Linked DNA regions of Cricetulus griseus. The protein of the gene in region 3 interacts with the protein of the main gene of each other region in a biochemical or structural test. Links are inferred from orthologs where the notes say so. Each region holds a gene or a part of one and is shown on either strand. Other genes may lie near its edges.

What was found.
Region 1: the proteins of Gopc (region 3) and Rps6ka1 interact in a test that uses a peptide from one of them, tested with the Homo sapiens proteins (2 studies listed by BioGRID and IntAct, with this or other methods). The link is inferred for Cricetulus griseus from reciprocal best matches to the Homo sapiens genes GOPC and RPS6KA1.
Region 2: the proteins of Gopc (region 3) and Sstr5 form a complex in vitro, tested with the Homo sapiens proteins (2 studies listed by BioGRID and IntAct, with this or other methods). The link is inferred for Cricetulus griseus from reciprocal best matches to the Homo sapiens genes GOPC and SSTR5.
Region 4: the proteins of Gopc (region 3) and corticotropin-releasing factor receptor 1 form a complex in vitro, tested with the Homo sapiens proteins (2 studies listed by BioGRID and IntAct, with this or other methods). The link is inferred for Cricetulus griseus from reciprocal best matches to the Homo sapiens genes GOPC and CRHR1.

Annotation. Positions count from the first base shown.
Region 1 is NC_048595.1:19,392,459-19,397,241, forward strand, and holds the start of Rps6ka1 (ribosomal protein S6 kinase alpha-1), read left to right. Parts: upstream 1-1,682; 5' UTR 1,683-1,808; coding exon 1,809-1,871; intron 1,872-4,783. UniProt on the Homo sapiens protein: Serine/threonine-protein kinase that acts downstream of ERK (MAPK1/ERK2 and MAPK3/ERK1) signaling and mediates mitogenic and stress-induced activation of the transcription factors CREB1, ETV1/ER81 and NR4A1/NUR77, regulates translation through RPS6 and EIF4B phosphorylation, and mediates cellular proliferation, survival, and differentiation by modulating mTOR signaling and repressing pro-apoptotic function of BAD and DAPK1.
Region 2 is NC_048600.1:45,082,119-45,085,838, forward strand, and holds Sstr5 (somatostatin receptor type 5), read right to left. Parts: upstream 2,274-3,720; 5' UTR 2,201-2,273; coding exon 1,112-2,200; downstream 1-1,111.
Region 3 is NC_048595.1:256,523,578-256,527,874, forward strand, and holds part of Gopc (Golgi-associated PDZ and coiled-coil motif-containing protein), read left to right. Parts: intron 1-3,475; coding exon 3,476-3,651; intron 3,652-4,297.
Region 4 is NC_048600.1:117,187,036-117,191,783, reverse strand, and holds the start of corticotropin-releasing factor receptor 1, read right to left. Parts: upstream 3,394-4,748; coding exon 3,370-3,393; intron 3,276-3,369; coding exon 3,188-3,275; intron 1-3,187.

The DNA.
Region 1 (4,783 bases), about 240 Mb from region 3:
TATTTATCTATTGTGGATCTCTCACTGGACCTGGGGCTAAGCTAGGGAGACAATGAGCTCCAGGGATCCTGTCTCAGCCACCTCAGCAATGAGATTACAAATGTTTATTGCCTGACCTTCATCTGTTTCTATTTCTTCTTCAATTTAACTTTTTTTTTTTTAGACAGCATCATCATTATGCAGCCAAAGATGGCCCCAAGGTCACAATCACCTGGCCCCAGTTTCCTGAATTAAATTTATTTCTATTTATTCATTTACTTACTTTTTTTTTTTTTTTTTTTGAAACAGAGTATCACTATGTAGCTCTGGCCAGCCTGGAATTCAGAGGCTCTGTTGCCTTCCTAATGCTAGAATTAAAGTCGTGCACCATTACACCTCACTTAAAAATGTTATTGCATGCAAATTTATTGGGAGAAGTTGTCTCTGGGCCAGAGCACGTTTGTGGAGGTCAGAGGACAACTTGTGGGTGTTGGTTCTCTCCTTCACCATCTGGGACCTGAGAGTCACCCACAGCATCGGTCTCGCAGGCAAGCTCATTTACCCATTGAGCCGTCTCACAAGTCCATCCCACACCCTTCTAAAGACGAATGTACTCCCGATCCTGTGTGACTTTGGATAAATCACTTCCTATTTCTGAGTGTCTAGTAGGAGGTGGTGAGTTCTCAAGAGAATCACAAGCCACCTGGAGGTATAGGTCCATGGTACCAAATGCAACTTAGCGTGCAAAGCCTGGCTCCCATACCCAGAACCAACTAAGCAAGGGAACACAAACACACTCACAGACACACACACACACACACACACACACACACACTCACACACACACACACACACACACAAACACACACACACACACATACACACACACACACACACACAAACACACACACACGGCAGGAGGCTTTTAGGAAACTAACCAGCTTGTCGTTGGGCTATCTCACCTGAGACCACACCTGGGCCCTACGACCTCTTTAGGCGTAGGCCAAATCCTGCCTGAGGGAATCGTGACCCCACTAGGCCTAGACTTTGCCCTCTTCACAGGGCTTCAAGTTCAAACCAGACCACCATCCGGCCTGGCGCGGAAGAGACGCTGGACCTGGCCTGAAACCAGCGCCCTCAAGCGATAGGGCACAGACTGGGAGGGAAAAAATGCGTGTTGAGAAATCACCCTGGGGGCGCTGTGGGTCCTGACGCTGGGACATGGGGATCACTTAAGAGACCCCAGGTGGGCTCCCTGCTGTGCGGAGGCTTGCGGAGGGAGAGCCTGAGGACACACGGCCCCGGATCCTTCCAAGCCTCTGTCTGGATCAGGCCCAGGACATCCCTGGTAGGGTGGCAGCCCCTCCCGCTGGAGGGAGAAGGCACATCTGGGTTAAGATTCCAAATGCTGCGAGGACGGGACAACGGTGGCCCGGGCGGGGTCTGCGCGGGGACACACAGGCCGGGAAGAAGGAAGCCGCAGACTCTCCGGCGGGCAGGGCCCCGAGTGGGCCAGGGGCTCGAGGGAAGGCGGGGCCGACTCCCAGCGCGTTGGGGGCGGGGGTCCGCGCCGGGAATGCCGCGCCGTGGGGATGGGCGGGGCTGCCCAGGCCCCGCCCCCGCGCAGGTAGCCAATGGGCGCGGCGGCGCCGGGTGACGGAGGGAGCCGAAGTGCGAGTGCCGCGGCGGCGGCGGCGGCGGACGGCCCAGCCGGAGCGCGAGGGCGCGGGCGCGCGGGGGGTCTCAGTGCAGCGCCGGGGACCCCGGGGCCCGGAGGCAGCGCAGCCCGGGGCCGCCGAGAGCAGCGCGAGCGGGTCGGCGGCGGCGCGATGCCGCTCGCCCAGCTCAAGGAGCCCTGGCCGCTCATGGAGCTGGTGCCGCTGGACCCGGAGGTGAGTGAGAGGGGCGGGGGACAGGCGGCGGCGGCCGGCCGGCCAGCCCGCGGATCCGCACAGGGGCGGGGCGGCCCGCGTCGTCTCTGCAGCCCCGCGAGGACGCGAGTGCCCTCTGGTCTCTAGCCCACTGGCCGGCTCCACCCCCCTGTGCTCCGGGTGTGCGTGTGCAGGGCACGGTTCTGCTGGACGCTCAGTACCTCCTTGCAGTAGCCAGGAGAGGGAACCCCACGGGCTCTCGAGATTTGACACCCTAAGCACCCCTAGGACTCGTCCCGCTTATCATCTTTTGGGAGCTGTGGGAGTTGCCCCAGTCATTGCAGAAGGGAAAGGCTTGGGTCAGATGTCTGAGGTTCTGTTAGAGACAAGGATCATGGGAATCTGGTTTCTCCCCGTATCTTCTCTTCAAGAGCTCTCTTCGTTCCTCCACTTCTGACCTTAGGAAGGTAGCCCTTCTGGACCGTGGCAGTTATGGAATGTGGGATTTTACCACCTCTGGAGTGGGGACCTCCTGGTTTCCTTTGCCCTAATGCTAATGACACACGGGTCTCCTCCTTCAGGTTATGCTGAAGAGAGGGGAGAGCCCTTAGACCTTGTGAAGATTGTCTCTGGGGAAGAGACCCCGCATCCGTCTTCCTCTCTCCCTCCTTCTTCCTTTCCTGGAGAAAAGGCTGGGCCCTTGGGCAGTGTGGCTTCTACCATCTAGTCTCTCCCAGAAGCAGCTCCTATCCTACCAGGGCTTTGTGGTCCAACCCTGAGCATGTAGGAGGCCACTTTTGGTGGTGTCCAGTGACCCTGGGATCAAGGTCAAGTCTTAAACCAGCAAGTTGAAAACTTTGCCCTGCTCTCATACTGGGAAGGAGGCAGGTGAAACTTTGCCTTAACTGGAGCTGTTAGGGTACAGAAGACAGATGGAGACCTCACTTGACCCCAGAACCTAGATGATCTTTCTGCTGGCTTGAACCCTTACCTATGTTTGGGACCTCAGGGCAGTCACCATCGGTCCTGCCTGTCAGGGCCACAGGTAGAGGGATCCACAGTGGGGACCCCAGGTCTTCAGGCACCCAGAGCATGCTGCCCCTTTAAAGGGATGGGCTACACTGGCTATTGGAGGGTGGGCGCGGCTGGATTAGGTAACCAACCTGAAGGCGCAATTTGGAGTAAATTGTTCTGGGATCCCTGCCATGGGGTTTTTACAGGCCCTACACAGCCCTCAGAGGTTCTCTCGCTGACTCACCCTGGTAGGTGAGGAGCACTGCCCTGTGCAGCCCCTGTTGCCTTCCCCCCCACCTCAGGGCTGGGCACAAGGCCTGCGGGAAGGCTCAGAGGTGTATTCCTTTGCCTGGGCACGCCCCTGCCACCTGGGCCTCCAGAGGAAGGTCGAGCTGAGCTGGGTATGGTTAGGGAGGGACTTAGCCTGGCGATTCACAGTGTTACACTAGCAGGGAGGGTAGAGATCTGGTAGCCCTGGCCTCCTCCAGGGCAGCACTTCCTGCTTCCCTTTGGGAAATCCTGAGGCCACAGCCAGCTTCATAGGGGCCAGGTTAAACCGGAAACTTCTTAGTTTGAACACTGTTGCACCTGAATTTGGGGAGAGGAGACTGTCGGATTTCCTGGGATGGGGAGAGGAGTTTACAATGAGTTTTACTTCAGAAATGCTGAGTGGCCCGTAGTCCATGTTCCGGCTCTCTTGGGCTTCTCTTTTCACTGCCACAAATGCACTTCTAAATCTGCTTCCTGGGCCTGACAAGGTGCAAAACCCTGGGTACTGCTGTTGGTGTCCCCTCCCCCCGGGCCATGGAGGTGCCAGTGGACTGGGTGTTATTGTCTGGGTAACAGGAGCCATGGGGCAGTGAGGGTGTGCATTCTTACTTGAGAACAGGGCCTTGCTGTTCTTAGTGCAGATGGCATGTAAGCGATACATGTGCCTGACCCGCAGGTACTGGCGCCATTGTGGGCAGCTTCTAGCCAGGAAGGAAGCAGGTAAGGGGGCTGGCAGGGGCATTTGGCAAAAGAGGTTTGGGATCTGAATTGCCCTGCCTTCCCATTGCTATCACCAAAAAGTGGGCTGCTGGGCCCAGGTGGAATAAACCAGTCCGAAGTGTGGGTGAGGATGCTGCCTGGGTTTTCTTGGTTTGGGCAAAAACAAGAGAGTCTGGTCTCCAGGCCCTATCCTGCCAGGCTTCACTATCTGGTGTCCATGGATGTTATATGACTTTAATTTTCACAACTTCTCAAGATAGAAATTATGACTCCCATTTTCAGAGGGGACAGCTGAATTTAGAAATGCTGGCACCTGCATTAATATGTGGGGCAGGATTGGAACTCAGGGCTCTTGCTGTTTCCTACCAAGCAATGGAGACTTAAAGATGAGCATGGGCTAGGTTTAAACTGGCACAGGTGGCAGGTACTCCAAGAGCAGCTCCGGATGTTGGCACAAACTTCTCAGTCCGCAGGGCCCTTGTCCAGCCTTGGCGGAGGGCTAGCGGTGTCCTGGCACTTGGCCCCCAGGCTCCAGCAGTGTACAGGGCTGCCAATGCTGGGCTCAGACCCCAGTTCCTGGGGCTGCTTCCTGCCTGCGGGGCATGTACTATCTTTCTCCATCTGTTCTGTTCTGCTCTTGACTTTTCCAGGAGCTGCTCTGCACCCTTAAGTGGGAAGAGGCATGTCTTCCGACTCTGGGAAGGGGTGCAGTGCTCTAGGGGTTCTGAGCAGGTGTCCATCCTCCCAATTGGTGCTCCTGAGGAAGAGAGGAGAATGGAGTGCTCCAAGAAGCCAAAGGTCTAGTCTGTTCCTCAACCCCTTTCCTTCCTTTCCTTTCCTTCCCTTCTTCTAGGGCCTTGTTTGTGCTAGACAGGCACTCTACCTCTGAGCTAAACCTCCTCCCCATAGGCCTTTTAAAAAATTATTAT
Region 2 (3,720 bases), on a different chromosome or scaffold from region 3:
TTTTTCTCCAGCTTCAGAAAGGCCCAAGGGTGCCCTGGGGACCCCAGCAAACTGTGGACATGCGGCTCTTTGAGCACATTCTAGGTCTGGAGTAGAGAAGCTGCTGGAGGCTGAAGAGGGATAACAGGTTCCTCAGGGACTTGGCCCTCTCTGGCGCTGGCATTTGCACTCTCTCACACAGTAGGTCTTTCCAGGCTGTGCTGTTTGCACTGGGAGCAGTTCCTGCCTGATACCCGTTCACCTTGCCCCCTTTCCAAGAACAGAGTCCTAGTCTTAAGGAGAAGGAGTGCTATTAATTCCCCCATGTGTTCTCAGTCTCTGAACCTCAGGGATGCCTCCGTAGAGTCTTTCCTCAGGGCCACCCTTACTGGGCCACTCTGAATAGACCAGATCCTGGTGAGTCTATTCCTCTTCTCACTCTTCACTGTGTGTCTGCTCTGCACACCCACTCCCACTGTGGAGGCCAAGGCCTCACTTTCTTCATGCTAGAGAAAGATGTGGAAAGGCCAGAGCAGGGCCCCAGAGTAGGGTTTTATCTCTGTCCCAGGGCCAGTGCAGCAGCTTCTCCTGTTGCCTCAAAGTACATGCAGCTGCAAGTGACAGAGGCCTCGGACTGTGAGCAGAGGCCAGGGTCAAGCACACATGGATGCTTTTCATTTGGCTTCCATGCTGACCAGAACATGGACACAGCAGTGGTTGAGGGCCCAGCACAGCTTCAGGGTGGGCAGTCACTGGCACAAACCAACAGTATCTCCTGGCTTCCTCCTGGGAAATTGCTTCTTGGCCTGAGAGGCTGACAAGTATGCCACATAGAGAGTGAAGGTGCCTGATTATTTCCTGGGGGGGGGCAAAACTCAGCCCTTCCTCCCTGCCAAGTCTGTCTCATGATCTCCAAACTCTCAGACCCTGGCCTGGCAGGACATTTTGATGAAAGAGATGGTCAGTCACCACAGGACACCAGCTGTACTATCTACCCATGGCTTAGCCTCAGGCAGCTCTCTTCACACTGCCACCAAGAGGAGTCCAACTTGTAGACCTGGGGACAAGAGCATCTCAGCACACCCACATCCTAGAAGACAACATCAGCAGGACCCTGGTACGACTGGGGCACTCAAAGCCTGCTGGTCTGCATGAGTCCATTGGCGTCACAGCTGCGTGTGGGCAGTGTGGCCTGTGGCCGTCCACTCTTGTCTGGACGTGGCTCTATGGCATCTGCATCCTCCATACCGTATCCTCTACGTAGGCACAGAACCTTCCGGAAACTCTGGCGGAAGTTATCAGAGAGAAAGCCATAGAGCAGGGGATTGGCACAGCTGTTAGCATAAGACAGGACCACCACGAAGAAGTAGAGGCCAGCAGAGGCAGGTTCCTCAGGCAGTGTGAAGGCCAGGTTGACAATGTTGACAATGAAGAAAGGCAGCCAGCAGCCCACGAACACTAGCACTACCACCACCACCATGCGAGTCACCTTGCGCTCTGAGCGCCGTCGCCGAGAGGAGCCTACACGCACACCTGCAGCCTTCACCTTCACCACAATGAGCAGGTAGCACAAACAGATGACCAGCAGGGGCCCAAAGAAGCCCAGGACAGATGTGTAGGTTATGAAGGCTGCGCCCCACAGTTCCACAGGTTCTGGCCAGCTTAGGTTGCAGGTACCCCAGCCCTCCTGGACATCTGCGAAGACCAGGAGTGGCAGAGACATGAGCAGTGAGAAGACCCAGACAGCGGCGCTGGCCAGCTTGGCTACCCTCGGGCGACGCCATCGGGCTGAGCGGAGAGGGTGGACCACAGCTAGGTAGCGGTCAACACTCATGACCATCAGGCAGAAGATACTGGTGAACTGGTTGATGCCATCCAGCGTCATGACCAGGCGGCACAGGAAGGGGCCAAAGGGCCAGTAGGAAACGGCGTTCTGTGTAGCCAGGAAGGGAAGCCCCAACATAAGCAATACGTCAGCCACAGCCAGGTTCAGGATGTACACATTAGTAACTGTCTTCATCTTGGCATGCCGCAGCACCACATAGATGACCAGTGTATTTCCACCCAGGCCTACCGTGCACACCAGCAAGTAGAGCACAGGCACCAGTACTGCCCGGGCTCCCATCGACGATACCGGGCTCACCAGTGACCAGTTATGGTTACTACTGGAAGCAGCTGAGGCATTCCAGATGGGTGTGGAAGCTGGGAAGAGGGGCTCCATGCTGCCAGCTTCAGGCCAGGTACCAGCCCACGTGGGGCTCTGCAAGAGAAGAGGGTGTTATGAGTGAGCACATTCAGGCATTCCTTCCTCCAGCCATCCCCAGCCCGCCTGCCCGACGGTGGTGGGTAAACAACATTAGTCATGTTCAACTTGGTCGGGAATTGCATTAAGCAAATTGTTTGGAAAACAAGCTGGAGAGAAAGAAGAAGCCACTGTGACACCCCCCCTCGTCCCCTGGGCTTGGCCTACTGTCAAGCACCCTCTCTCAAAACCTCTCAGAGCCCTGGAGGGCAGCATTTCAGGAAAGTGACATAAGCTCAGTGGGTATCACCTTCCAGGGGTCCCCAAACTATGAGAAGTGGCTGATAGAGAAGGATGGGGAGGCTGAGATGCCACGCTTGCAGTAAGCTGATCATACTCAACACATGTGGCACCCTAGGTCTGCTCTGCCAGTAAGTTGAAGGTTGGACTCTCTCTGGGGTGGGAGATCCTAGGGAATGCTGTCCCCAGTAGACAATTTCTACTCCCAACAGGGCCTAAGCCTCTCTGCAGCAGCGATGACTCCAGAGGTCCCTGTGCCTAGTGCAGGGAGGGAAAACATGGAACTGACGTAACAGCCAACAGTAACACATCAGGCTGTGGGCAATGCCTGGGGGGGGGCATACAGCCCAGCACATGGCAGAACCAGGAGAACTAAAGCCTGGGAAGCAGAGTAAGGACACAGGGCCTGCTCATGGGCTTTGTGAAGAAAGTAGAGCGGCTGTTGTGGGAGGACAGTGTCTGACAGATGAGTGGCAGGTGCATACACTCTCTCTTGCTTTTGTTTCTTTGTGTTTGAGTCTTTCATAAAAGCGAAGATGCCCAAGAGGAAACAAACACCTCTGCTGCTGGGAAAGGAAGAGATGGGCAGGACTGGTGTCTATGGTTGGGCAACTAGCAAGGAACTGAAGTACCTGGAGGTCACAGGCCAGGGACAGGCCGTGGGGAGGCAGGAGCCCTCAGCCTGAGTCAGGCTGTCCACTACCTATTCCACCCTCAGAAACCTGGGCCTGCTCAGCTGATCTGTAATGGCGTGAACCATGGCAGACATGGGACACTCCAACAGCTGTAAGAGCAGAACCTCGTTGTGGGGTAACCAGGATCAAGCAGAGGCAACTGCAATCTGAAGAACAAGGAAAGGCAGGCTGGAGTGTGGGGATCCTAGAGTGAACAGCAGCAGCAGCAACAAGGAAATGAAAATGTTCTTCCCCACAAGCCAATGCACCAAAGTCCAAGTTCTCAAGGCTCAAGGATGCTAAGGAGTATGACCTGAAAAACCAAGGAGAAGGGACCAGCAGTGGATTCACCTGGAAAAATTGAAATAAAATAAGACGATTTAACTAGTATACCTAGAACATGTTTCAATAAGTGTTAAGATCTTTGAGTAAAGCATGGATAAAATATTATAAGGAGAAGGAGTAAATAGAGCAGGTCCCCCAACTTTGAAGTCACAGAACTTGGGCATGGAAAATACAGTCATT
Region 3 (4,297 bases):
GGGTATTGAAGGTGTATTAACCAGGCCTAGTTTTTACCCCCATCAAGTTTCTGTCTGCCCTCGTTCCCATTAAGAGAGCGTGCATGCGATTCCTTCATCCACTGCATGTGTTAGAACCTTCTAGCAGGTTTGGTAATGATTGTGTAGCCTTTAAAACATTGCATTTTAAATTTTTTATCAGAAATGATTTTAGACAGTAACAGTATATAAATTCTTCATGACTTTACCACTTCTGAAAATTCACTTTTTACAAGTCTAAAACTTGAAACAAACTTTATGCTTATTACCCAATACAAAAAGGTTAACCAGGAAACAAATTTATAAACTATCTCTAAATCTTAAAGTAATTCTCTTCAGTTTCGGTAATCATATTCTTTTTTACATATTTTTTAAATGACAGGCTGCCCTTGAATTCACAGAGGTCTGCCTGCCTCTGCCCCTGAAGCACTAGGGTTAAATGGGTGTACATCCCTGTGGCTGGCTGGCTGGCTCTCATGTCTTAATTTCAAGTCTCAGGCACTGTCGATTCTTTGGGGATTTGAATTATTAAAAGAAAGTGATAGTCTCATAAGTATCTGAAATTCATTAGTCCAGTGTAACTAGCTCATTAAAGTAATTGGAAGGAGATAATCCTTTGGTAGTGTTTATATAACCTATACACTGAAGAAATCTTGGTCTCCAGGCTGGGAATGAAGCTCGGTGAGTGGAGTGTGCCTAGCGTGGATAGAGCCCCAGGGTCAGTTCCCAGCCCCACATAAAATCAGGCTAGGTGGCACAGCCAGCCTGGGTTATGTGATGAACTATCGCAGAGAGAAAGAAAGGTAAGGAGAACAGGAGGGATGGAGATTCATAATTCCAAAATTGCTATAAAAGAGAGTCTGCATTAGTAGCTTCTCAAATCCCTTTTAATAATGTCTAGAAATTGTGGGTGGACATGTGTGTGTGCATCTTTGCAAAAGCTGAAAACAAAAACCTGCTTATTTTCCTTCTGTTTGTCAGTTATATAATAAATATTCTTATCAAATCGACAGGGTTCTCCAGTTAGGATCAGACCCATGCTAGGCAAGCATTCCACCATTAAGCTACACTCCCAGCCTTATATGTAACAGACATTTGTACTCAAAGAAAAGATTTCATTATACCTTGTATTTGAACATCATTTTTGATGTTGGTCAAAATAGAACAAAGCGTCAACTAAATTAGTACCAAAATATGTTCAACAAATTGGCCAACAATTATATTTGTTGTGTATTTTCCCCCACCCCCTTTATTGAGACACACCTCATTATATAGCACTGACTGTCCTGGAACTAGCTGTATAGCCTAGGCTGGCTTTACACTTGAGCAATTTCTCATGCCTCTGCCTCCAGAGTACTGGGATTACAGCTCAATTGTTTGCTTAAGATAGGGTCTTTGGTAGCCTGGGCTAGTTTCAAACATGCTATATAGCCGAGGCTGGCTTTGAACTCCTGATTTGTCCTGCCTCCCAGCCTCCCAGTGGCTGGGTACATATCTATTGTATACCTTCTCAATAGCTAGAATAAAAGGGAAATAACTATGTAGTTGTAGGCTATAACAGAGACTGACACATTTGCCAGTTCCTCAACAGAAACAGTTTTCCCTTGTGAGAAGCGAAGTATTCATAAAGGGGACACAATGATGAGTTGAGTAATGTCCGCTTATCTCATGAACAAGCATAACCATATTTTCTTAGTCTCTGTGAACTTCCGTAAGTCAGCAAGAGTGGCTCTGATGAGGATAAATGCCAGTGTGGAGTGTTTGGGCAGTTTTGACTCAGAACTAATACCTCTGGTGCCTCTATTCAGCTGTCAGGAGAGGTGTGTTTGGTCACACACATAGTGAGCATCTGATTTGGAATTTGCCTTTCTTTGGGCAGGATTTGTACTTCCCATTTTGCATTCTGCTTTGACTTGAAGCCTCCCATTTTATACTTGGATCCTGATCCCATGGTCTGTGAGTATAAACACTGTATAAACTCAGGGAAAAGTGGACATTAATTCTTATATATGAACTTACAGTAAAACTTTAGCCAAGCGATTGTGGCACCTTTAATCCCAGCACTCAGGACGTAGATCTCTGAGTTTGAGGCCAGCCTGGTCTACAGAGTGAGTTCCAGGGCAGCCAGGGCTACGCAGATAAACTGTGTTTCAGAAAGACAAAAACTTAATGGTGATGATTTTGGGATTATGCCCTGTAATACCTGTAGCTTCACATAGAAGGCTGAAGATGGCTTCTTTTATGAGAGCTGAAATGGATGACTATTTTACTTCATAGGAGCCAAAGGGAAGAAGTTGTTTTCCTTAGAAAAATCACTCTGTGATCTGCTGTAAGTTACAAATACATGAACTAGATCCAGAGATTGAGACTACTCCACACCATAGCCATTCTACTACAGAATTTTGAATGTATGCTCTAACATAGTAACTGCAGGCTCTCCATGCATGGTTATATGGTGGTTTCTGAAAACTAAGAGTGGAACAGTGTGATGGTCCAGTGGGTAAAAGCTAGCCTGGAACTGTGTGTAGCCAAGGGTGACTGGGAACTCAGGGTCCCTCCACTGCAACCCCCAGAGTCTTACAGTCATGAGCTATTGTAGGTGGCTTATTATTTTTCTATTAGTCTAGTTTCTTTAGTCATGTTTATAAAGTAAGTAGACACAGTGTCTTGCTTAAAGAAGACTGCTCTTGCTTCTCGTAGTGTCAGGGTGCATCACGGCATGCACTTATCCAAAAGAAGGGCCAAAACACTGTGTTCCTGGTTTTAAAAGAAGAAAATCCAGCCAGGCATTGTTTTATGTATCCCTAATCCCAGCACTTGAGAGATGGGATGAAGGATTTCAGGTTCGGGGCTAGCCTGGGCTACCTAGTGAGTTGCAGGCCAGCCTGAGATATCTATCAAGACTTTATGTTAAAAAACAAAGAAACAATCATCATCTAAAGAGATGGCTCAGCAATTAAGAACATTTGCTGAGTCAGGGGGTTGGTGGCACATGCCTTTAACCCCAGCACTTGGGAGGCAGAGGCAGGCAGATCTCTGTCAGTTTGAGGCCAATGTGGTCTACAGAGTGAGTTCCAGGACAGCCAGAGCTGTTACACAGAGAAACTCTGTCTTGAAAAACAAACAAACAAACAAACAAATAAAAGAGCACTTGCTGTTCTTCCAAAGGACCCAGCACACCCCCATCAGCCTGCTTAAAACCACCAGGAACTGCAGCTCTAAGGGATGTGATCCTTTCTCTGCATGGACAGCCCGCATATGTGTGGCACTCGCACTAAAAATAAATATAAAAACAAAAGAAAGAACTAAATTCAGCCTTGGTGTTCCAATCCAATTCCCCATGTTTGCATTGTTTGTATTATATGCTGAGCTTGTGTGTATTTTTAAGAAGAACTGTCTCCTGGATGTAGAATCATAAAGACATTGTTACAAAATTATGTTTTAAAAATCACAATAGGAAAGAGAGCTTGAAGCAAATAAAACAGAAAAAGTCAAAGAAGCTCAACTTGAAGCTGAGGTGAAGCTGCTAAGGAAGGAGAACGAGGCCCTCCGAAGGCACATAGCTGTCCTCCAGGCTGAAGTCTATGGGGCGAGACTGGCTGCCAAGTACTTGGATAAGGAGCTGGCGGGCAGGTGTGTAAAGGACGGCTCTGCTTGTGTTCTTAGATGGCGAGTGGTTGGCTCATCTCTTATGAATGAACTATTTTACCCTCAGTCATTTTCATATGTAGCTACATGATAGTAGTGTTGAATTAATATTGGCAGCATTATGTATTTCAGATTGATTTATCCATACATACTAAATAAGCATATTTTACAAACACAGACTGATGCTAACTTACTGTGAGATGCCTGTAACTCTGCAGAGTAATAACTTTCACTTATTTCCTGCCTTGACTCTGCAACAGGCAGTGCTCATGTGGTCAGCAGGAAGGAATCCCTGGGCCCTTTACAGCTGATCTTTTTGGACCCTCAAATATATTTAAGAATAAAAGTAATTTTATTATAAAGTTCTGTTGGCTTTAATATTGTTAGTGGCATTAGTCGCAAACTTTGGTGACATGCTAGTATCAAAACATTTTAGGACTGGGGAGATGGCTCAGAGGTTAAGAGCACTGGCTGCTCTTCCAGAGATCCTGAGTTCAATTCTCAGTAACCACATGGTGGCTCACAACCATCTATAATGAGATCTGGTCCCCCCTTCTGGCCTGTATACATAATAAATAAATAAATTAATTAATTAATTAATTTTTAAAAAATATTAAAAAAACATTTTATA
Region 4 (4,748 bases), on a different chromosome or scaffold from region 3:
CCCAGGTCCTTCCTGCTTCCTCCTTACCAACCCGACTTTATGTTCTTTCCCTCTCTTAACAAAACAAAACAAAACAATTCAAAATACTCAAGTCACCTAAGAAATGGCATGAACTAGAGATATAAAATGAATGAAACAGGTCGGGCAGTGGTGGCACATGTCTTTAATCCCTGCATTCAGAAGGCAGAGGCAGGCGATCTCTGTAAGTTTGAGGCCACCCTGGTCTACAGAGCAAGTTTCAGGGCAGCCAGGGCTACACAGAGAAATCCTGTCTCGAAAAAACAGCAAAACAAAACAAAACAGAAAGAATAAAAGATGTCCTGTCCCAAGGGTGATTGCATCCTAGCGGGAGACAGAGTGATTGAGCAAGCATGTGCTATCCTGTGAGAAATACTACAAACAATGTACGGAAATAAAGACGAACTAGATGCTATTTTAATTTGGAGTTTCTCTAAAACACTAAGTTTAATTATGAACTTGAAGGGAGGGAGGGAGTCATGGGCATAGATGGTGAAGAGGGAGCAGCCGATACAAAGGTCCTGAGGCAGGTGTTTGCTGAGGTCTCTGGGGTTGACATTCTCGTCACTGTGTCACGCAGATAACAGATAAGGGCCCTTTGAAGGGTGGCCCAGTTTCTGCTTGTGCACAGTTGGGCACTGGTTTCTTCTGTCAAGTTGGCCACACAATTCCCTCCCTATCAAGCTTAGTGCCCTAATGTGCGCAGAGGGCCCTCGTGCTGTAGGTAATGCTGGAAGGAAACTAGAACCATGCTCCTGTCCCAGTTAGGAGTGGTCTTCCATCACACGCTTCTGAGTGAACCACAGAGGGTGTGAGCACTTGGCAGCCCCCTTTCAGGTAGGAAGATCTGATCTACCTATCTGATTTGAGACTGGGGACACTCCTCCGAGGCTTCCTGGGGAGCAGGAAGGTGCTCTAGGGCAACCTCAAAGATGGGTACTCCTGCTAGGAGGAGAGTGCTCTGGGATGAAAGGGCAGTTGCTCTGTTTGGGTGACACGGCACAGACAGAGGCACGGGGCAGGCAGGCAGTCTTGGCACCTCGGGTTAAGCTGCCTCTTTAGCAGGGTGAAGAAAGGTGTCTCTGTAGAGTGTGGGCCACACGAAGAGAGAGGTAGAAGCCTGTGAGGCTTCCTGCCTTGTGCTCTGACCACTCCTGATGTTTGCACTCAATACCTTGTAGAAGTCCAGGCACATAGTAGGTGCTGAAGAAACCATAGGGCCATATACAAGTTTAGTGTGCTCAGGGAAAACTGCAGGGCTGACACTGCACCTCCAAGTGACACTGTGTCTCCAAGTAACATTGGGCCCTGGATATGACAGATCTCTTAAGTGACCACATAATGTATTAAATCTGAAATCAGGCTCAGTTGGCTCAACCCCTGTGGCCAGTGCTTGGCAACTGTGTGTGCTCAGTCCAAGTTACTCAACCTTTCTGAGTGTAAGGTTCCTTTTCTCTAAAGCGGGAACCAAAATCCTTGCTGAATCTATTGTGATGACCGGATGAGGCTGAGCACCTAGAATTGTGCCCAACATGAAGTGGACATCCACACGAATCAGCTGTTATTATTACGGTTTGTTGTTCATCGTTACCGCCTTAAGAACAGCGATGGGAACTAGTGACCCCACGTCCTCCTGAGCCCTGACTCCACTTATCTGGGGTGTTACTAGTCAGTAATTCTATTACTTTCTGGCACAGTCATACTCATGCCATGATTTTATAAGTTGCCAAGTCTATAATCTGTCACATGATGGGGGCCTTGGCCATGGGAACCTAGCCCCTCCTTACTTCTGGCATGAGGCATGTGCAAGGCCCCCAAAGGTTTCAGCACAGTGCCAGCCACTCGGGCCAGACGCCCATCCATCTGTCCCGGGCCCTCCACCCCACTCTCACCATCTGTCTCTGCCAATGCCCATCAGATGACAAATGGCCAGAGCGGAGGCCACTGTGGAAGGTGATGGATTGCATCCTATGGAGCCAGGCAGGCTGGGAGGGGGTGGGGCATCCAGCACAAATCACGGAAGAATGAACATCATCCCTCACAGCCTGCTGCCTCCAAGGACAGGTGACACCTGTGTGGCTCCAGGGTGTCACTTCTCTTGAATAGGAGCAAGTTAATGGAGCCTGACCTGGCCTGGGGTGGAGAGGAGGGACGGGGACCTTTCCTCCAGGCATCCTCCCTGCCTGTCCTTGGCTGCCACTGCTGATAGGCTGAGAGCAACGCACTCCCTGCTCAACCCAGCCAGTGGGTAGTCCAATGCTGGGACGGCCAGGGCCTTCTTCACCTTGGTGAGTCCTTCTGCCAACTTAGCCACTGGTGTTCAATCACTGACTGCTCTATCTCTAGGCTCACTTAAAAACCCCTCCTTCAGGAAGGCTTCTGGGATTTGCCCTACCCCTATCCTAGCCTCCCTGACACCCTCCGTTGTAGTAAGCAAGCAATCGTAGGGTGTACTTTCTCTTTCTCCTAGGTGCACAGTAAGTACTTTGAAAAAGCTACCCATGATTATACCCAGTAGCTGTCTGGATGTTACAGCTTATGAAACAAACCTGCAAAACTCAGTGCATTTAACCTCAGGATCCCCCTCCCTCAATTTGGGCAAAGCAAAGCCCAAAGAAGTCCAGGGCATCATCTTCCTGTGAGTACCAGTATTGGGAACTGAACCCGGGTCCTCTAGAAGAACGCGCAGTGCTCTTAACCACTGTGTTATCTCTCCAGCCCCTTACCTAGAATTTTCTATTGGGCAGGTATTGAGCATCACCAGGGAGCCAGACTGCCTTTGCAACCCAGGCTCTAGCACTTAGTGCTTGTCTGTGCCTCAGTTGCCTTTGGAGTCAGATGGGTGACAGGATCTCAAATCCCTGGTGCTAGCAGCATGTAGCCTTACTCTCCAGCATATTTAGCAACAGCAGCAGCCTTGGACCTTTTGCCAATATCCTCAGCAGTGAGGCCTGGAGGGCTTTCCCCTGTTGCCCCCTGGGATGGTGACCACAAGGCACCTTTGCTGAGTGTGTTTCCTGTGCCCACAGACGAGGCTCCTGGATAACTACAGGCCCCTTTACCCTCACTGACTCCAGTTCCAGAGATTTTTCTATACAGGTCGCTGCTCAGAGCTCTAGGGAAGGAGATCCTGTGGGAACCTGGGAGCTAAGGGGCAGGGATGACTCACCAGAGACATTGCTGGCCAGGGACAGGCTCTCACAGCGCTGGTCTTGCAGGGAGGTGGAGACAGGGTTCAGCCCCAGGAGGAGAAGGGCCTGTGGACACAAGGGGGTACAGGACACTGTTAGGGGGGTACTCATCAGTCTGAGCTGATGATTCTTGCCCCCCCTCCTCTGCCCAGCATCCTACCCTTGCCCAGTCTCCTGGTCCCATCCAGAATGTTTGAAATTGCCTGGTTCACGCAGGGCCTGGAATGGAGGCACAGACCCCAAACATGTCTAACGCGGTCGCTCCAAGTGCATGCACACACATTTGCACACAACCCTCCACCTTCCTTACCTCTGTGGTATTTCAGGCCCGTGGTTATGAGCTCCTCCTGAGCCTTCATCCCTGTCAATGACTACCAGTCATTGCAAATTGAGCCTCATGTTTCAAGCTCTTCCGATGTCCTGCGATATCTACAATGGCTTAATTCACCCCGGGGACAGCATGGATATGGCTACTGAAGATGGGGAAACTGAGGCGCTAAAGAAATGATTGTGTCTGGGAAGATGGGTCACCTATTCCAGGGAAGGCCTTTAACCCTACTGAGGGCCCAGTGTTACTCTGACTCCAGGGTTTCAGCCATGAGTCCTATGACCGGAAGACGATCCCTTCTTGAATGAACAGCCCCACCCCAACAATGATGAGCACTTTCTTGGGTTACTATCCTCTCTACAGGTGGGAGTCTGGATGAGTGGGCCATGTGACCTCTCCGGGCCTCAGTGTCCTTGCTCTAAAGCAAGTGCAGGCCTCCCCTGTGTCTGTGCTTACACTGTATTCATTCTGGCAATGAGGCTAATGAATGATGTTTTTGGGTACACAATGGGCGCTCAATGAGGATTTACATACTCAGTAGTTGTTAGCTGACCTAACTAGGGAGGTGGAGATGGGCTGGGGCCTCGTCTGTTGGGATTCATTCTGCAAATGGGGTCCAGAAGCATGTGGGGTGGGAGAGGGGAACTACGACAGGCTGTCTTTTCTCCACTGGGGACCTAACCACCGTGAGAAGAATCCCCAGGTAGGATGGCAACCCTGGGAGTGTTCTCCACATAGTCACCCCACTCTGCTCTCCTGTTCCCTCTTTAGGGGTCCTAGGATCAAGAGGATTATCAATAAGGACCACCACATCCAGCTTGAGAAGCAAATGGAGCCCTAGTTTTAATTTGACTGTGGATGGGCTAAGTCAGTCTCTCTCTCTCTCTCTCTCTCTCTCTCTCTCTGTGTGTGTGTGTGTGTGTGTGTGTGTGCATGTGTCCCCATCTGTCTATCTGTCCATCTGTCTGGCTCCCTTCAGGGGCCAGTCCCCCCAGCCTCACCAGTACTCACTTCCCCTTCTGTCATATATTGATGACAAAGGCAGGCTCTTCTGCCTTCTTTCCCACCATGCATTTGTATTCCTGACCACAGCCTGGACCCACTCCCATAAGAGCCATCCCTAATCCTGGTGACTTACAGAGCCACACTATACCCTTAAGTCCTTAGTGGGCTTTCATCCATTCCCCCACCTCAGGCACCCTCCCTCCATC